Linked DNA regions of Drosophila melanogaster. Changing the gene in region 1 together with any one later gene gives a genetic interaction. Each region holds a gene or a part of one and is shown on either strand. Other genes may lie near its edges. The genes, in order: Usp47, Dcp-1 and csw.

Region 1 (6,736 bases):
GCGCCTTATTTGTACGGGCCAGCACCAGTTGCCGTATACATATATATATATATATATAGATAGATATACACATATAGCACGTACACCCAATCGAGCATCGACTGCCCCCCGAAATCGACGTCGTGACTAACGCGCAGGGGAATTTCGTAAACAACCGGCCATCAGAGTTGCCTCCGGAGGATGCTACGGGAATTATTATTTGCCTCCAATGGACTACCAACGTCATCATCATCATCATGACCATAGCTATCACCATCGGGCGTACCGAATGCATAAATTTCAGTGCAAATGTCGCTCCATGTTTCAGCTGGCTTCCTTTGTGGCTCCCCGCAAGACTCTGTAACGGAAGTGGTGGCTATTATACGAACGAATATCTGGCGCCTTCAATTCGGCAGTGCGCATATTGCAAGTGGACGGTGGACATATCCATATGTACAAATTAATACTTATCGGACATCAGCGTGAACACTGCGAATTATTCTAGAAACATTTGTAGAATTCGAAAGATTTAAGGAAAGCAGATGCTGAATATTAGGCGAAAAGCGATTGAACTACTCTATAATATGCAGTCAAAAATATCATCGATTCGCCTGTCAATTAATTGTATCTAAAATTATACTTTTCGAATGTCTATTTTGGCAATAATCTTTAGTGATTCGTACTGCTCAGCATTTAATTGAGTGTCGCAAGCAATTGGGGCCGGGGTATTTGCAATGTTTTTCCAATTCTCTGCACCGAAATAACCACAAAAAAGACAGCCAGTCAGCCAAGATATTTTGGGTCTCCTCCGAATGGAGGATGCACATCCACGATGTGCGATGTGAATGCGCTGCAATTGGGCGTTCAAACACATGTTGGATGGTCCAAACACAAACCGCATTGCCCGGCAAGGGAGCGAGTGAGATGGGGATCCAAAAATGCTAATACACGTCGGCCAGCACAAAATCAAAATAAGAAACCCATGCTGCTAAAAATAAAAACTGGCGGCGGCGACACAACGACACATCGGAGCGGTCGGAAAAAGCACACAGGCGAGTGGAGGAGCAAGATATAAGACAGCTTTGGGAGCGTCTTGAATACGCGTATATCTGGCTATTTGTGAATGCGAAGGTTTTTGAGAAATTCAGAGAAGCGCACAGACTGTTCGAATACGTCTATCCTATACATCAGAATGGTCAGGCACTTTCAACACATTGGCCCCATCCATCCCACTCAATATTTACATGATGACGATGATCTTTTGGTCAATGTTTGTGTTGGTCGGGTATTACAGAAACCGATATCGCGAGTTATCTATGCCATATACACGATCCAATGGGGGGACGGCGGGAGGGGCAACAGTCATGCTCGCATATATTTGTGCTATTTTTGAACTATTTCGGTACTGCGAAATCTATGTGATCTACAAAAACCATGAGATGTCTGAGATATGACTGCTGAGTGCCGGAAATTGTAGGATTCTCGATTCCCGATCATATAATGCATTCTCGAACAGAAAATCTCCATTACGAAATGCTTTCTATTCTTAGGCGTCGCACAACTTTAATTGGAGCTTCCAATGTTGTGTGAATAAGTGTGTATATATCCGTGGTCTATATATGCAACGGATTTTGGTGAGTTTTACCGTCTGTGTCGGAACTGAGTGTGCCGAAATCTTTCCGAACTAGAAGACCGCACCGTCAACGCACGGCATAGTTCACGCGTGTACTGGCCGCTTAGGATGCCGATGCCGATTCCGATTGCGATCCGAAGATACACCACCCGATCTGGCGCCCGATCTTTGGCGAAGCGAGCTACGTGTTAAGTTCTCGGCGTGATGTACTATAACAATGAGAAACAGTTTACTTATCTGGCTTACACTTCAATAGGAAAACAATACTTTTATATAGCTTCTATAACTTCGGGGTGCGATAAGAACATGAATACAGATACACGGATTGCAACAGTACCCAAGCCACTTGTTTTAAACAAATAACAGGATAATGGGGAGTAATGTAAGCTATTGACTGGGTTACAATCAGGGGTCTGATAACAATCAAACATTGTCCAGTTGCCTTTTGCGAATATCAATGACCACTCACGAGTTGCAACTGATAACGATTATCGCCGCACAATGCAGTGGGTGGGTATTTCACTGGGGGGAACTTTTGGGTCCCTAGAACCCAGACGGATTACTCAATGAATATAGGCGATATGTTTGGGTTTACAGCGAAAGTGCTATTAATGTCGACCGTATGCTCTCTTCGATGTGCCAGCTCTCTATTTGCGGGAATGAATGACTATTTTTATGGGTCTGCCGTCGCTGCTACAATGCTGCATTGCTGCAGTGGGACATCCTTTGAACAGGCGCCATGCCAAAGGATATTCTTTGTGGAAGGGGGGGGGGGGGCAAGGGTTAAGGGTCACATTCGTTTGCGCAATACTTCCAGCGATGGGGCGGTGAACGGTGGGCGGGGCGATCGGTCAAGGCTTCGACTGTGGAACGTGACACGCATATGTCGGCCGGAGTTTGGCCCAAAAAGTGGCCCCAATGGTTGTCCTTCGCGCTGGCAATTAGTCCCTAGCAAGGCGCGTCCATATTTTGCAAAAATTCGTGGGGCGCCTTGTTTTCTTCTCTCTGTATGTGTGCATGTGTGTGTACCTCCGTCTCACTCACCTCAAGTGTGTGTGTGTGTATGAAAATACTGCGGTATACGGCTGCGTTTGTGTGTGAGTGTGGGTTTCGGCTCTACTCTCCCGATGATCCTGCTCCTCCGGTCCTAATCCCGGCCTGCTCGGCTGCTCCTGCGTCCTGACTGCGCTAGAAATTCGCTTAAAACGAGCCTCGACGGGTCATTTTTACAATTGTTTTTTGTTGTTCCGTTCGGCTGTTTTACCAGACGTGCTCGTTCCGGTGTGACTGCCCGCCGCTGACTGTAAAATACTAAACGCATTGCAGCTGTGGCAATGCCCAAGTCTTGGTCTTACGGTCACACTGGCAAAGTTTAAAAATTTATTTATTTCAACTTTCAGTTACTTTTCGTTGGCTTGAATATTACACTAAGAATTCAATTTGACACTTGCAATTTATACATTGTATATTATAATATATTATATGTATTATATTTTATATCATATAAAGATATTTATATCTATTGATCTTTTGATTATAAGCTCTTTGGTTGAACAATATAAGTGCAACTTTCTCCATCACCTTCCTATCTTTTTACAATATGCTTACCTCGTCAATACGTTTTTTCTATTTCAAATATTTCAATATTTCAAAGAAATATTTTGTTTATTTTTCTGTGTGTTTTTAAGCAATCTGACCCCTGTAGAAGAATCCCTTATAATATTAACAAATGTATCCTCAAAATAGATCGATCTCTATCTTCGCAGACTTACACGAAACATTCCAGAACCGATAGTTTTATGCGATATATGAGATTTAAGGAGTACTTTCCGCATTTCGCCATCACAGTCACGCTTTCCTTGGCATTTGCAATCAAATAAGCGCTAATAATAATCGTAAAAGCATAAGAAGCATATAAAGAAGAGTCACCGCCAAAAGCATGCACAAATATATATAAATGGGGAGCGATTTAAAAACAGTGCACTGTGTTTAAAACATCGACAGCTATCGGTTAGCATATCGATATTGACATTCGCAGTCAAACGTTTTCGAGATACAACCCTAAAATCCGAGAAGCATCCAGAAATTTCGACGTAGACGAGGGCGAACCTATAAAATGAGGTTGACGCACGAATCCCGCTCATTATTAAACAAAATTTTGAAGAGAAAGAAACTCTGAAGTAGGGTGTGTTTTTAGTGCGCAAGCCACATTTGGTGGATAAAGAAAAAAGCGAAGAAGAACAATTGAATTGAATCAATTGCGAGAAAGAGACAAAACTCATAAATATTTAAAGAACATTGCCCCGTGAAAATATAAATAGTGTGAATACACAGTGAACAATACCAACAATTGCACTTTGCCATTGCATTTTGCACTTTTCCACTTGGATTTTTGAACTTTTACGGATTCCCAGACAATCGCTTACATTTAAGGTAAGCTTCGTTGGACATATTGCCACATGTGGGCGCATCGATTTGATCTGCTGAAAGAAGCACATCGGGAGCGGAGCTCTCGTTGATGGTGACTACATACGTCACTCGCGTGACAACACGGCAGTTGCACAACTGTGCTGTTCTGTGCTTCTAGCACTTTCCATCGCCCCAACCCAGCAAGCTGGCAATCAGTATTCATTCTAATCTATAGCGTTCGTTCGTTTGTGTTTCCCCTATATTTTCAGCTGAGAGATGGGCAAAGACTTCTACAAGATTCTGGGCCTCGAGCGCAAGGCCAGCGACGATGAGATCAAGAAGGCCTACCGCAAACTGGCACTCAAATACCATCCCGACAAGAACAAGAGCCCACAGGCGGAGGAGCGCTTCAAGGAGATCGCCGAGGCGTACGAGGTGCTGTCGGACAAAAAGAAGCGCGACATCTTCGACAATTACGGTGAGGATGGATTGAAGGGCGGACAGCCGGGACCAGATGGCGGCGGTCAGCCGGGAGCGTACACTTACCAGTTCCACGGCGATCCGAGGGCCACATTTGCCCAGTTCTTTGGATCGTCGGATCCGTTTGGCGCGTTCTTTACCGGCGGCGATAACATGTTTAGTGGCGGTCAGGGCGGCAATACCAACGAGATCTTCTGGAACATTGGCGGCGACGATATGTTTGCCTTTAATGCCCAGGCACCCAGTCGCAAGCGCCAGCAGGATCCGCCCATCGAGCATGATCTGTTCGTGTCGCTGGAGGAAGTGGACAAGGGATGCATCAAGAAGATGAAAATCTCACGCATGGCCACCGGAAGCAATGGGCCGTACAAGGAGGAGAAGGTGCTGAGGATCACAGTGAAGCCGGGCTGGAAGGCCGGTACCAAGATTACCTTCCCCCAAGAGGGTGATTCGGCGCCAAACAAGACGCCAGCTGACATCGTCTTCATCATTCGCGACAAACCGCATTCGCTGTTCAAACGCGAGGGAATCGATCTAAAGTATACAGCCCAGATCAGTCTGAAGCAGGCCTTGTGCGGAGCACTGGTTAGTGTGCCCACGCTGCAGGGCAGCAGGATACAGGTGAATCCGAACCACGAGATCATCAAGCCCACCACAACGCGCCGGATCAACGGACTGGGTCTGCCGGTGCCCAAGGAGCCATCGAGGCGCGGCGATCTGATCGTCTCCTTCGACATTAAGTTTCCCGACACACTGGCACCCAGTCTGCAGAATCAGCTGTCCGAGCTGCTGCCCAACTAGGCTAGAGCTGTGCCAGCCACACACACACACACACACACGCATATAATTGTTATCACTTTAGTTAAGGCCTATATTTAATTTACCGTACGTACTCGTAAGACAACTTAGCCTAACCAATTGTAGCCCTAAGCTAGTGAGTGTGCCAAGCGAAGAGCTGTAGATATTGGCCGAGGATGCAAGCGCTGGATAGGATTAGGAAAGAGAACAACACACACACACACACACACATAAAGCAGCCCGTGTAGCCCGTTTCGTGTTGGAGACTGATCGATTATTAGCTATTTAGCATTACACAAATTCCATAAGTTGTTTTGTTTACCGCCACATGAATCGGTGCCTCAACATCTTATACATAATAATCCCAAAACAAAATATTAAATAAATGAGGTATTATAAATTTAAAGTAACTAACCATTTTTCAAGCAAAGCACATTTTCGGCATTCCAACACGGGGAGGTTACATCAGTTAGTAGAACACTTATAGATTTATACGCCGTAAGGACATAGTACGTTTTAGTACCAATTCTATTATGTTATAAACAATAAAATTACTTATACACACATCAAGTGTCGTTTCTGGGTCAGTGGGTTGCAAGCATTATAGAAATTGCTAGATTTCACGTGGTGGCAATCAAAATGTGGTGGCTAAAACCAAAACAACATGTATTGCTGGCAATTTCTTCTATTTTTAAATATATATAACTAGCGCGCCAAACAATTCAAAAGTCTCCACATGTGGAAACTTCCAGAGGGCAACACGCCACCTGGCGTGTATAGATCGTGTGTTACATTTCAAAAACCATCTGGCATCACTGGCAACGTTTGTTTAAAACGTCGAGTGGAAAAGATGAAATTTAAAATAAAATCGTTGTTTAAAATCCTTTTTCCAAAACCTGAAATCCCCGAAAGCCAAAAAGAGAATCAATAAAAAGAAATTCCATGTTAATTTTATTTTAAATTTCACATTTTATTTTCATTTGTTTTCTCTTCAAAAGGATTTCGTAATTTAATCATTTGTCACACATTTTCACTATCCTTATGTTGAGTGTTAAGTTGCATTTGCAATTGTATAATCATTGTGTATTTCTTTTTACTTTCTTTACTGTTGCATATTTGTTTTTTTTTTTTATTCTCTTTTTCAAAAAGTATTAACATCCATTTCATGTTCGTTTTTGTTGTAATATATTTTTGTTCTTCTTGTTTGCAGCTGCTAATTAGGTTTACAATAAAAATTGAATTTCAATGTTGCTGTCTGCTGTTGTCCATTCGAAAATGGCAACATTTGTTTCCAATCCTGCTGCATTTTGCTATTGATTTCTGTTTCGAATTTGGTTTTCGTGTGTGTGTGTGTGTGTGTGTGTGTGTGTTGTGTGGCTGACTTATAAATTGTATTTAATATGCAATTGTTACCCTCGTTTTTCCTGCTGCCTCGTT
Region 2 (6,736 bases), on another chromosome or scaffold:
TACCTTTGCAGGCCGAGATGAGAAAGTAGCCGGCGTCGCAGATGTCGCTGAAGTCCAGGTGGACCACGGGTCGCGTGTGGCCACTGCAGGTCAGCGGGATTTGTCGCAAGTTGTTGGCGGCCATGGCAGTGGGCTGCTAGTGGATTGGTGGACTGTGTGGTCCTTAATACTTGTGGTTTTCTCCGAGTGTAGCGACCGTTATGTCCGCTGGCGAACTGTGCACTTAGTGAATAACTGACGTTTTGTGGCTACTTTGTACTTGGATTGGTTGTTGCTCCTGGTTAACTGCGCTTCACTGCCCGTACGATAATGATTTTCCCGTTCGTTGCTTAGGTTCGAGATGCTGCGGTGGCTTTGCAGGGTGTGCAGTGTATTTACAATCTGATGCACTGAATTTTATAAACAAGAGGGGAAAATAATTACGCGACACGTTGTTGTTGTGGATGGACGATTGGTAGCCGACTCCAGCCTCGATAGTCCGCACACACAGTACCTACCTATCGTCAGCGGTGGGCGCGTGAGGCGATAACTTCTCGATTAGCTAGAGCTGTGTCACGGCAGCCAGGGGAGGATACAAAGGAAAAATGTCAAATTACTTATTTACAATTTGGCATAGAATTGTTTTATTTTGTTTTTTATTTATATTAAGCCAATTAACAGCTTTGTTGTACGTAATTTAGAAATCACGGCCAACCACTATCGATATAATTTAGCGAACGAGTCACGACATTATGGATGTAGCCCATCCCTATTTACTTGTCAAAACAGCAAATTTTCATTCGGGCCAAGAATCGACTGAAAATATGTCCGCTATTCTAAACCACGCAATTCGCCGCCAATTCGGCGCTTCTGCCGCCCGGAATATGTCCGGCACCGCCGCCGTGGCCGGCGAGCACTCTGGTAAGTGACCGTCCAGCGTCCCAATTGCCAAATTCATCCCCTTTTGTAAGGTTAAGGTTATGTAATTTACCATTGGGCAAGATCGATTGGTGGAGAAGGATTCGCTCTTATAACACATCCTTTCATGCTCATCTCATCTCTCATCCTTCAGGTGGCTACAAGGTGTGGAAGCGCCTGTCCTTCTTCGTGGCCGTGCCCGCCGTGGGACTGTGCATGCTGAACGCCTACCTGAAGCACCAGGAGGAGCACGACAAGCCCCGCCAGGAGTTCGTCAAGTACGACTACCTGCGCCGCCGCGAGAAGCGCTTCCCCTGGGGTGAGGGCCAGAAGAGCCTGTTCCACAACCCCCACGTTAACGCCCTGCCCGACGGCTACGAGCACTAGGTGGCCACCGTCTCCGGTTCCCTCTGCGGGATGTATTCGTTGTTTGGTAGTGATAGACGTTAATGTAAACTGAACTTTACGCGGAAATACACAGAAAACACATATACCCAAACTCCAGTTGGCGCTTCAATAAAGATCAAATTAGAGCGAGGAGAGATCCCATAAAGACCATTTCAATGAGCGACAGCGGAATTCTGGTGAGGAGTTTATTTAAAAGGCCTTCGGTTAAAGGAAAAATTAAAAGTTACAATTAAATAGAATTTAAATTTAAGCATAAGCACGGATGCACTTTTCGCATGCAATATATTCAACTACTATCATTATTTTGCGGATCGGCGATTCTTAAGGTTGCGTTCCAGTTTGTGATGAGGCTTGCCTTCGTTCTTTCCTGTCTTCTGAGTGATTCTTTGAGCATCCCGACTGCGAGTTTGGCGCACGGATTGCTGGGCATCCTTGGGAGGATTGGTTTTACGCTGCTTTGGAGGCGGCGGCGTGAAGGATTCGTCGCTATCGTCTAGGTGGTCCTCATAGAGAGCATCGTCTTCTAAGTATTCCGTCACGAATTCTTCCTGCTTCACATTGTCCATGTCTTCAAAATCGTCAAGATGTTCCTCCTTCTCATCGACGCCGCCTTCTCCTTCGCCGTCGTCTTCGAACTCGTTCTGGTACGGCTCCATTTCCACCACATGATCGTCCTCGATGTGGCGCTGCAGGCATTTCTGCGTCAAGAAGATGTGGTCACAGAACTCGCAGGCATGGCGCTCGCTCTGCTTGTGCTGGTCCATGTGGCTCTCGACACTGTCGATATCTTCGATCTGCTTGCGACACATGGGACATTTCAGGCTGGCGGTGGCATGAATGAGCGCATGATCCAGTAGGTCGTTATAGTTGCTGTACGACACCTTGCACTCACTGCACACGAACGAGGCGTCGGAAGTCTGCGTGTGCGTGCGCAGGTGGCGCGAGAGATGATGCGACAGCATGTAGGACTTGTGGCAGTACTTGCAGGGATAGGCTCTCTTCCCGGCGTGGGCAACCAGGTGGCGGGCCAGCTTGGAAGCGGTGGAAAAGCTTCTCTCGCAATGCTGACAGGGGAAGGGAAGATTGGTGGAGTGGACTGTCTGAAAGTGGACATAATCGTTAGCCGGGGCAATCCCAAATATGCTTGTCAACCCACCTCATGACGCTCCAATCCCTGCTTGAAGGCAAACGACTTGGTGCAGACACCGCATTGGAACGGACGCTTCTTCTGATGTCGCTCGGCGTGCTTCTCCATCTCCTGGCGCGAAAGGAAGGGCTTCTCGCAGTACACGCAGATGAACTTGGGTACGTCCGTGTGGGTGCGCTCGTGGCGATGGAGCAATGCCTTCCGTGTGAAGGCTTTCGAGCAGATGGCGCACTTGAATGGCCGCTCGCCGGTGTGCACAAAGTTGTGCTTGGCCAGGTCGTACTTGGAGAAGAAGCTCTTCTCGCACAGGAGACACTGGAAGCTGCGCGAGCGAGTGTGATTCAGCCGATGGATCTCGAGCAGCTGCTGCAGCGGAAAGGAGCGTTCGCAATCGGGACAGGGGAACACATCGGTGGCCACCTTCTCGGCGTTCTTGGTCGGATCATCTTGATCGTCCAATGGCAGATCCGAGTCCAGAACCTCTGTCACTATGGCCACATTGCCACTATCATCTCGCTTGACTTTGGGTGTGGCCAGGCGCGGTTCCACCGGAGCGGCGGGTCCCTTGTTCAAGATCCTAATCGAGGACTTGTTCAGCACCTTCGGCTTGACGGGTGATGCCTTCTGGGGGATATCGGGGAACTCCTTCTCTAGCTCACTGGCCATATCCTCCAGCATGCTCTGCACATCGTCCATGGACAGCTCCTGGTTGTTATCCACCTTCAGCTCATAGGCGTGCGAACGACGTGGCACTGGAGAGGAACCGGCTACCGTCCTGGGGGTCACCATGGCGCTCTCCAGCACCTGGACGTCCTCGATGATCACCTGACTACTGGATTTGGCCATTGTGTTCAGCAGCTTTTTGGGCGTTTCGCTTGGCTCGGCTGTCTTTGCTGGCACGACCAACAACTTCTTGGAAGCCACCATCGTCATGGGCGCACGGGGCTTCTCCAGCGGCGATGGCCAGTTACCCGTGAGCGGATACTGGCGCAGGAGGGTCTCCGCCCGCTTGCACATCTGCTTGAAGCGGTAGCAGTGCTCGAAGAGGAGGCGGCACTCCAGACAGATGTGCCCCGGCATTCCGTCGCCGGCGTAGACCTGTTTTTAATGTTAGATTAGATAAATGTGTGAGTGACTAGGAAGCTACATTTATTCGGGGAAGTCCGTGCTTAAGCCAAATAATAAGGTAATATTCGTGGAACACCCCTATATGTTTTTCGCTACATAATAAATTAAACGCCATAAATGTCTCTTTCCCTTAAAATGAACAATATAATGTTAGAGTTTAAATTTAAACAAAGGCGCCGAGGACCAGAACACCCTCTACAAATTAATCGATGGCCACCAATCGATGATTAGTGCTATCGACGAGCGGCCATCGCCGCTTGGCGGCAAGTGCATACACACGACTACATGCAATCGCAGTTTGTTTTCGCCGCTCAGAGCACGCTTAACCTCCGTTAATTGATTGATTAAACACGTCCGACTGTGAGCCATAAAAGGACATTCGCTCGATCGAAAGCCGACAAAAGCTGGCTGAGAAGCGCAAAACAGCTGCGCTGCGCAAAGTTTGGCCAACGCAGAGCAATAGAAAACAGAAGCAGTGTCAGAATAAAACAAGAATCAGACCAAAAAGGGCGCAACAACTGCGGAGAGAGAAAAGGAAGGAAAGAGCAGCGCGTGAGCGAGGGAGGAGCAGGAGGGAGCGAACAAAAGGCAAGAGGAAACACAAGGAGAAACGCAAACAATCAAAACAAGAACTTAAGCAAGAAAAGGGGCGCAAGATGACCGACGAGTGCGTAACCAGAAACTACGGAGTAGGCATTCGCAGCCCAAATGGATCGGAAAATCGGGGCAGCTTTATAATGGCTGATAATACCGATGCCAAGGGCTGTACGCCGGAGTCTCTTGTTGTTGGTGGTGCAACTGCAGCGAGGTGAGTCCATGTGCCTCGCTCTCTCCCTCTCCCATCTCTCTCTTTATGTTTCTGTGTTTTGTTATCAATGCAAGTACTGGCATAACTGCTATATCCTAGTTTCAAATGCAGCATATAAAGCTCTTTTTTTTTTATTTATTCCATTTTCATTCCACAATCTATTATTTTTATATTATTTATACTGTCTATTGCCAACATTTAAAATCAATGTGTCAATCTGTCTTTATAATGTTGTTAAAATGGCTGAAGTCACAAAGTTTGAAAGCACTTGACTTTAATTCTATTGTTCTATTTAGTCTTATTCACAAATATATTTGAAAATAATTACATAAATAAATACCCAATCATCGATTATTTCGCCGATTACCTTATCTTATCATGCTGCTTCCCAAATGGCTATTATAATTCTGATTTCTTTTTCCCCAGCCCCTTGCCGGCCAACAAGTTTGTGGCTCGAATGCCCGTGGAACGATATGCAAGCGAATACAACATGAGTCACAAGCACCGCGGAGTTGCGCTGATCTTCAACCACGAATTCTTCGACATACCCTCGCTGAAGAGCCGCACCGGAACAAATGTCGATGCCCAAGAGCTGAAAAAGGCCTTTGAAAACCTGGGATTCGCGGTGTCCGTGCACAAGGACTGCAAGTTGAGGGACATCCTGAAGCACGTGGGGAAGGCCGCCGAGTTGGACCACACGGACAACGACTGCCTTGCGGTGGCCATACTCTCGCACGGGGAGCACGGCTACCTGTACGCCAAGGATACGCAGTACAAGCTGGACAACATCTGGCACTACTTCACTGCCACCTTCTGCCCCTCGCTGGCGGGCAAGCCGAAGCTGTTCTTCATCCAAGCCTGCCAGGGCGATCGCTTGGACGGAGGCATCACTCTGGAGAAGGGCGTTACCGAGACGGACGGGGAGTCCTCGACGAGCTACAAGATACCCATACACGCCGACTTTCTCTTCTCCTACTCGACCATTCCGGGTAAGGAATATGATTAGGTAACTATTTTAGTGAATTTCACTAGCAATCTCGTCCTGTTAGGCTACTTCTCCTGGCGCAACATCAACAATGGCTCCTGGTACATGCAATCGCTGATCCGCGAGCTGAACGCCAATGGCAAAAAGTACGACCTGCTCACCCTGCTTACATTCGTTAACCAGCGCGTAGCCCTAGACTTTGAGTCGAACGTGCCCGCCACACCGATGATGGATCGCCAGAAGCAAATACCGTGCCTCACCTCCATGCTGACGCGCATACTGCGCTTCGGCGACAAGCCGAACGGCAATAAGGCTGGCTAGGAAGAGATCTCCCTTCGAAGAAGAACTTTCAACAGAGGTTGTACAACCATCGCCCGCAATCATTCACGTTGGATTCCAATTCACTTCAAGTTTAGTTTTAGCTGACGCGTGCGATTATCCCGATGGATATTGAAGCACCCGACTCCCTTTCATTCATTCCCCTGCCTTTCCCATGCCCATTTCGGCCTTATCATTGACGAAATTCGTTACCCATTTACCCACTAGATGACTTCCGTATGCATAAGCGAGACCTTGCCAATAGAAAACCCACAAATTTGAGATAAGATAATACAATGAAGATTTATACATACATACATACTTTTATGTACACGCAAACATTTATATTTGATATGAATAAAAATGAATTAAAAACATAGCAAGGTATCTCCCCAATTGAACGTAGATGGGTAATTTCGATCTAAGCAACTTTGTTTGAAGACAGGAGCTGTCTGGGCCAGATTGAGTACGTTGATATGGGAAATAAAAGATAACAATGAAGACTTGGTTGGCTGAATCAGTGAAATTGTACGAAACTTTAGTGGAATTCAAATTAGCATTATTAAGAGTGATTAATTAAGATTTTTCTCACTCTAATTTTATTAATTTCCTAAATTTTATATTTATTTCCTAATTTTATAATTTAGGAAATTAATAAAATTAACCAAATGATGATTTTTGCGTAAATATAAGTATCGAAGGAACTATTAATGCATTTAAATATGATCTCGATTTGAATTTAGCGCCAAAAACAACTGACAGCTGTCAGGGCGATCAGCTGTTGACGCACTAGTGTGCGTGTGGCGCAGTACAGTTGCCCCAAATCGCAGAAATTTTCATTTTTCTTTGCACAAGAGGAAAAAGGGAAAGCCCAATGATTAGCCAACTAATTGGGCTGTAACCTGGTCGCACTTTTCAAGGACATTCGGCTGGGAAAGGGAAGCGGGGCAGTTTGGAGCGGGGAAACTTAGCCAAGACGCCTCGCAGTCGATGCGGAAACCCGCGATGCGGCTTCTTAGCCAAGTTATGCGTGGCGCTGGTTAGT
Region 3 (6,736 bases), on another chromosome or scaffold:
ACACTTACAGCAGCGAATGCGAATGTGGCGTATTTGTATTTACCATACGGAGGAAGCTGCGCGCCATTCATGAAAGCGCCGCTAAGGTCAACAAACAGATTTACATGCACACACGAATATGTGCAGCGTATTCGTACACAATATCCGAATACATATACAAATCCCCCCCTCAGTGTTTTAGTCGTTTCGTTTGTCACAGGTTTATTTTGCTTTTCGTGTGGCAACGCACCTGGAAAGGCGGCAGCGAAACGACTGGTATTGGGGTTACGAGGTGGAGCGCGGAAGCAGGGGAACGAGGCCTTCAATTAATTAACTCAAAAGTCGGCAAGATACTTATTGAATTATCGAATGAGCTGCTTGCCCCTACCCTAACCGCCCACTCGCAAGCAGTGTGTGAAGTAGTAGTACAGTCTATTCAAAACATAATATTTTTTGAACAGTTCAAACTGTTAAAATAAGCATATAAACGATATGTCAAGTTGGAGAACTGGACGGGGAAAAGTACTAGTTGGGGAGAGTCTGGGATAGAATTGTAAAATTTCCATGGAGTTACAACCCCAGAACAAAGCCCTCCCCCCCATAATTGGGCCTTTCCACTGAGAGCATCTTGTAGTCGGCCGACGTTATGAATTTGCACAAATTAAACGCTTTTATTTGATCAGTAGCCACAGCTCACGGTTGTGCAACGGACAAATAAACGGAAATATGCAAAACAGAAGGCAGCGCTCGAAATCCATTACGGGAAATGTAATTTCATAAATCGTTAATCAGCCTTATGGCGAGAAGAAAAACCATCGGAAGGTTAATAGTTCTACAAGGCGGAGGGCAGAGGACGGCGGTGCCCCATTGTTGACCTAGTGAGTGTGACAAGTGAAATCCGGAAATCACGCAGCTTAAGCTGTCAAAGCTATTGGCACATCATCTTCAGATCATTTGGCATGATGTGCGTTTTAGGATAACGACGAAAAGATCGCCCTAAAGCAGGATACCTATAAAAGCTGAGCATAAATTAGAAAAACAAAGATCAAGTTAACGAGCCAATCAACACGTTCAGCGATTATGAATCCGTTGCGATAAAAATCAAAATAAATAAATAAGCAACAACCGAAACCGACTGCACTACCAATCCGAGCTCAACTAAAAGTCAAAGATAATTTATGGGACATAATAATAGTCCAGCAGATACATATGCGATTGTTTTCTGGGTGTACTGTGCGAATCGAGATCGCCAAGATGGGGCCAGCCCACACAAACAATCGGACGGCACATGGCACAGCCGGGCAGATAAACACCAAGATCAGACACGGAGTGGGATGGAATCTTTGGGGAATGTGGACGACGGACAGCGCAACAGCGGGACATGGGTAAACATTCCGGGCGCGAGTGAAGAGATAATTCCGATCTGGCAGTGGGCCAAGATACGATGTCTGCAGTGGGCAATTCGCCGAACTCTCCCGGTTCTACAAGTGCGTAATTTAGCCAGTGCCTAACCAATAACTCAATCTTCAGCTCTAAATGAAAGAACCAATATCGAAACACAACTTGACAACGGGCCAATTGTGTGGGGGGGGTTGATATGTTGATATGTGACCATATTTGAGTGGCGATCTGAGCTGGGCCCCCTGCCATTTGCCATTCCACTCCCTTCACTTCACTTCGGCATTTGACAGTCGGAAATTCATTCATATTAGAACGTCAATTTACGATTGCTTGTTTTCGAGTCGAATGCTTTGCGTAAATATTTACTCATTTTGCGTGGCAATTCTGAACACATGACAGTATGTGCTGCGCTGATTTTTTTTTTTTTTTGCTTTGTTGCGGCGTCAACTGCCTGTGATTGCCTGCCTTATTAGGGTTAATGTTGATGGGCAGCAGATTGTCTCCAGATTTCCCGCGAATCATCTGCTACTCCGCGACATGTGACTGACAGGCGGGGCGACATACTACGATGCGATGGTAGCTCAAAATACCATTTCACCTGCTACGGGGTATCGTTTAGTTGGCAGCCTGACAACTTCATTACTCGCACTCCAATAACAATTAGTGCCTAATTTCGCACGCGCCCCAAATTAGCAGAACGCTGCTCTTTTTCTAACACTCTGGACTGGACTGCTGTCGTTTTTTTTGGGCGACCTGAACTTACGTGTAACCATGGAGCTGGACGCGCATGGTGGCCAAGAGGGACAGTGTGCTGTTGGAGCAGCTGGCGCCGCCGAAGGCGGCTGGGAACTGGGGCGGTGTGGCTGTCCAGGAGGTGGGCGTGGCCGGGTAGGAAGCCTGCGGGCTGGGTGTAAGACGGTGCAGAGATTCCGTCGATGTGGAGGCGGAGGCAGCGGCGGAGGGTTGGGCGGAGAGAGGACGACGTCTGCGCTGCAGTCGGTTGTCTCGATTACGTTGCGCGTCAGCGCCCTTGGCCACGCCCTTTATGATCTGGGCCAGCTCGTCGTGGGTCATACAGTTCTTGCAGGCCGGCTCCTGGGCCTCGGGTGTCTCCGTTGGTGGGGTGACCTTTGCTTTCCGACCCTTGCTGGCCTTGAACTTGCCGCTCCTTTCGCGCTCCTCCGAGCGTCTTCCCTTGCTTCCGTAGTGCGCCTGTATGGCTCTTTCGTACTCAAAGTTTCGCTGATTGTTGTAGGCATTGTTGTTGTTTAGCGTATTGTTATTGTTATTGTTGATATTGTTGTTGTTGTAGACTTGTTTCTCTTGCAGCTTGTGATTGACCACATTGCCCAGCGAGCTGGACAACTTTTCCAGACATTTGTTGAACAGCATTTTCTTCACACTCGTTTTCTCGCACACACCAAAACAAAAAGAAGCTTAGATAGTAGTATTCCACTGCGGAAAAATGCGTCTCGGCTGGGGTGTTTTTTTATTATTTTTTTTTTATTTTGTTATTGTTTTTGTTTTATGTAACAACTTGCCCACACACACGAACACACACTGAAAGCACAAAAACTAGAATTCTTGGTTTTTGTTTTTTGCCGCTGTTTGTTGTGCTTCTCTGTTTGCTTTTTATTGATCTTAGTCAGCTCGATTAGGGGAAATGTCTACAGTTTGTCAAATAGAGTGCTGTTTACCCCGCATTCGTTTATTATTGCACAATCTTCTTGAGAGCCAGCAACAGCTTCTTTTCGTACGACTTGACATTGATGGCCTTGGCCACGGTGGTGCTGCTGCTGTTGATGGTGCTGGTGGGTTTGACCTCTGCTGGGGATGCGGCCTGCTCGTCGAGTCGCGATTGTGCCGCCATCAAATGCTCCAGGACAAATGTGGCTGAAGGCATAATTTTCGCGCTTTGCCTTCGAATAACAAAAACACTCGATGGAACTTGTACTGGCGCCCAGTAGAAATGAAACGAACTGCTTGCCGCTCGACGACGAACGGCGACTGCTTGCGAGCTGAGCTGCTAACCCGTTGGATCACAACTCGAGAATGAAGCGCCTGCTGCCGAGTCTGAAGCTTTTTGCCTCGGATTCGAAATCGCAATCGGAATCGAAATCGGATTCTTGACGTTGTCTCAGCGCGGCTCCTCTCTTTGCGATTCGATTCTTCCGCTCTCTCTTAGTGGCTATATCTCTCGGACGGGAGCTGTGGCCTGGTGGTGTTCTAAGCGCTGGGGTATGAATGAATCTGAATCTTGACTGGCTGCGGACGGCGCTTTTTGTTTTTAAATCCAGCCGGCGCTCTGGTTAGCCCTTCCTGTCGATCTCGTGGGTGGGTGTTTTTATTTATGGGCTTTATTTACTGTCAGCGAGCCAGAAGTCACAAACAAATACAAAAAAAAACACAGTAAATAAAACGGAGCGAAAGACGTAACTTTGAAATTGATTGGCAGTGGGTGTGTGCACAGCTTTCCCCTGGGCTCCTGTTTCAGTATCATCAAACTGCTTGGGCCCCTCAGCGGGCGCCACTTAATTGTAGCCATCCTGTGGACGCCACTTACGGTTTATTCAGAAAGCGAAAGCACTTTGAATTGCAATCAACATTGTAAAAAATTACACTTTTACTTTTCATTTACTTTCAATTAAGTGCTAGAGCCAGGCTAATACCTATAAATATGTATAGCGGGCTCCACTCTATGTTTATTTCGTAATGACTGTACTCCTGGATGAGTCATGGAGTTCATCGCAATCAGAATCCGAATCATACACATTTCGAAAAGCAGGCACATAAGATTAATTCCAATCCGAAAATGGTCATTTCGTGATATGAGTGTGTTGTTGGCTTGTAAGAAAGCAAATACAAAAAGCGCTTTTAGCGCCGTCCGTTGCCTGCCACCGGAAATGAAACTGAAGCCGCACAGCAACTACTGTGGCGGCCATCTAGGCAAGGAACTGGGTTTGCTGGGGGGCAGGTGGGTTGGTGGGCAGGTGGGCAGGTTGGTAGTTGGGTAAGTGGGAGCTAGAAGCGAGCAGTGCCAAAGCTCTCTTACAGCGCAGGCGCAGACGTCAGAGGTGCGAACGTGCGCAGAATATCTTTTTTTTTTTTTTGGCCAGCAAAACAAAATCGTTCGACGTGCGACAGCCTGCGAACTGCGATCTAGCAACACTTTACTTCCAGCCTCGTATTCATGCCTCCCAACGATGACGAACTATTTTTTTTTTTTCCAACATTTCGTCATTGTTTTTTCGCTGGAAACCAACTAGAACTTGTTACCCAAACCACATTCAAAATCCACTCAATGGAAATTGTCTCCGAAGTGTTCGATCAAAATTGAAAATGCTCAGCTCAAACCAGTCGGGGAAACCCCATGTAGCTATGCATGCATGCATCAATGCAAACAGGATGTTCCAGGCCAGGTGGACCAGATCCGTGGAAACCACATGGGGCTTCTGGGCGCAGTTAGGTGTCGGTTAAGAATATTAGTCATTGCAATGGCAAATGCAAGACGAGAAGTGCATTAAAAGTGAGTAGAGATGATTTGAGCTACCTGATTGCTATCGATACAGAATTAAGAGCGAGGCCAACATTGGCCATTCGCAAGTTTAAGTTCTTAGAAATGATCGGGTAACGCAATTTAGAAGTGGCATTGACCAATAGCCTACCCAACGTGTTTACATTACGTATGGAATTACTAAAAGTTCCGGCGAAGTAGTGAGTGCCGTGAGTGCCGCCCTACCCAGAAATAAACTTGATCGGTACCAGTTGCCAGAGCGACAGCCCAGTCCCAGTATCCCCAGTGCTCCATTCCTGAGCTCCGCGACCTTGGCTATCCCGATTTCGTTGCTGGAGACCCAGACCGCATTTGGGCACAGCCAAAACCATTCGTAGGTGCGATGGGGAGTGGGCCAGAAATAAACATAATTTATTGTTCAGTCGGAGGCGGGGGATGGTTAGTATGCTAGGCACACAGCTACATATGTGCCGACCACTGATTGTTCGCCACTCCGAATTGGGATTGAGATTGAGATTTGGTCTCGGGACCCAGGGATGGCAGCCAGCGGAGCCGAAGCCAAAGCCCAATCCGTAAGTGAAGCGTGCCGGACCGAATGCGCGGCGACAGCTCCTCGAAATGGGTTATTCAGTCGCCAAAAGCCAATAGCCGATAGCCAATAGCCAATTGGCAATCGCAAATCGATTGTGGGTCGCTGCGGGGACCACTGTACAGACGTGTTCGCACTAAATCAGCCAAAAACCAACAGAACTGTTTTGCGGCAAATGCCAGAGAGTATAGTTTATGGGCCATTATACCGGGCATTTGTGAGCTTGGTTATATGGTAAATTTTAAAATGAGTACTTTGCGACCCCACCCAGAAAGGGGTAAATCAAAAATAGACGGGAAGAGGCAATTAGGAGAACTACTTATATTATTTGTAAATAATTTACAAATCATAAATTCACCGCCGGTGGGCGTGGGCTGCATTTTTTTTTTTTTTTTTTTAGCTAAAACTCAGCTTGTTAACAAGAAATCATACTGTTTGCTGACAATGCAGGATTCGTGGCACCAACTCAAGCACCGAAATAATGTGTAAAAAGTTTTATAGGATTATTGCATCCTGCACAAACATGTTGCGTTTCCCAATCTCCAAGCCTAGAGAGACGAGCCCAGTTTTAGTTGTAGCCAGGTGGGCTTCCCCATAGCGGCCGAGATTTATGATACTGCTCGATTTTTGCCATGCTCCACCAGCCAAAAATATATACCGAGATTTACGATCAGTGTCGTAATTCATACTATTAGATGGAATGCTACGTGAGTGCTTCCATGTAACACTTTTTTGTAAGCAAATCAAACCTCCAGCTCCGCAAATAGCAGGGGACTCACGGCTGCTTAGTGGCGGCGTAAAAGTATTCCTTTTGGATTGGGTTGGAATATTTCGTTGGTTCGTTGGCCTGGCCCCCCACAACTTTGATTTTCGGTCCGTCGAATCAATCCCTCATCCCCATTTATTGACTCGAATCTTTCCTCGTTTTCTTTGTGGCTCATTGTTTTGGCGATGTTTTGGCGAGGGATTTACCTGAATATTTAATTGCGAGACGGACGCATTTGCGGTTCGTGCCGGTAGCTTTAAATTGTCGTGTGCTGGGCAGTTTAGGATACCAAATATAATGAGCGATCATCTCGATTGGCGTACATATACATACATACCATACATACGTGCGTTTTAAATTTAATTCACTTCGTGGGATTTACAAAGGGAAAGCACATCAAAAACTAGCCGTTGCTAGTGATAATGATAAAATGTAGTTGCGATTTGCATAACATCATTGGGTCAGGTGTGATGCGCTGGCCATGCAA

What was found.
Region 2: of Usp47 (region 1) and Dcp-1, changing one suppresses a phenotype caused by changing the other (phenotypic suppression), as found in Drosophila melanogaster (one study listed by BioGRID).
Region 3: of Usp47 (region 1) and csw, changing one enhances a phenotype caused by changing the other (phenotypic enhancement), as found in Drosophila melanogaster (one study listed by BioGRID).

The regions. Positions count from the first base shown.
Region 1 is NT_037436.4:5,749,155-5,755,890, reverse strand, and holds the start of Usp47 (ubiquitin specific protease 47), read right to left. Parts: upstream 2,919-6,736; 5' UTR 2,657-2,918; intron 1,714-2,656; exon of another isoform or gene 1,625-1,713; intron 338-1,624; exon of another isoform or gene 266-337; intron 1-265. Other genes in the region: DnaJ-1 (DnaJ-like-1), read left to right, coding at 4,298-5,302. UniProt on the Drosophila melanogaster protein: Ubiquitin-specific protease that deubiquitinates target proteins to regulate different cellular and developmental pathways. Functions downstream of Dsor1/MEK to positively regulate the Ras/MAPK signaling pathway.
Region 2 is NT_033778.4:23,547,487-23,554,222, forward strand, and holds Dcp-1 (death caspase-1), read left to right. Parts: upstream 1-3,826; 5' UTR 3,827-4,236; coding exon 4,237-4,388; intron 4,389-4,814; coding exon 4,815-5,377; intron 5,378-5,437; coding exon 5,438-5,694; 3' UTR 5,695-6,061; downstream 6,062-6,736. Other genes in the region: wmd (wing morphogenesis defect), read right to left, coding at 4-124; levy, read left to right, coding at 804-900, 1,052-1,284; pita, read right to left, coding at 1,605-2,405, 2,462-3,550. UniProt on the Drosophila melanogaster protein: Involved in the activation cascade of caspases responsible for apoptosis execution. Proteolytically cleaves poly(ADP-ribose) polymerase (PARP). Loss of zygotic DCP-1 function causes larval lethality and melanotic tumors.
Region 3 is NC_004354.4:2,099,183-2,105,918, reverse strand, and holds the start of csw (corkscrew), read right to left. Parts: upstream 3,631-6,736; 5' UTR 2,773-3,630; coding exon 2,144-2,772; intron 1-2,143. UniProt on the Drosophila melanogaster protein: Required in all receptor tyrosine kinase signaling pathways. Functions downstream of the receptor tyrosine kinase torso, acting in concert with D-Raf via tailless.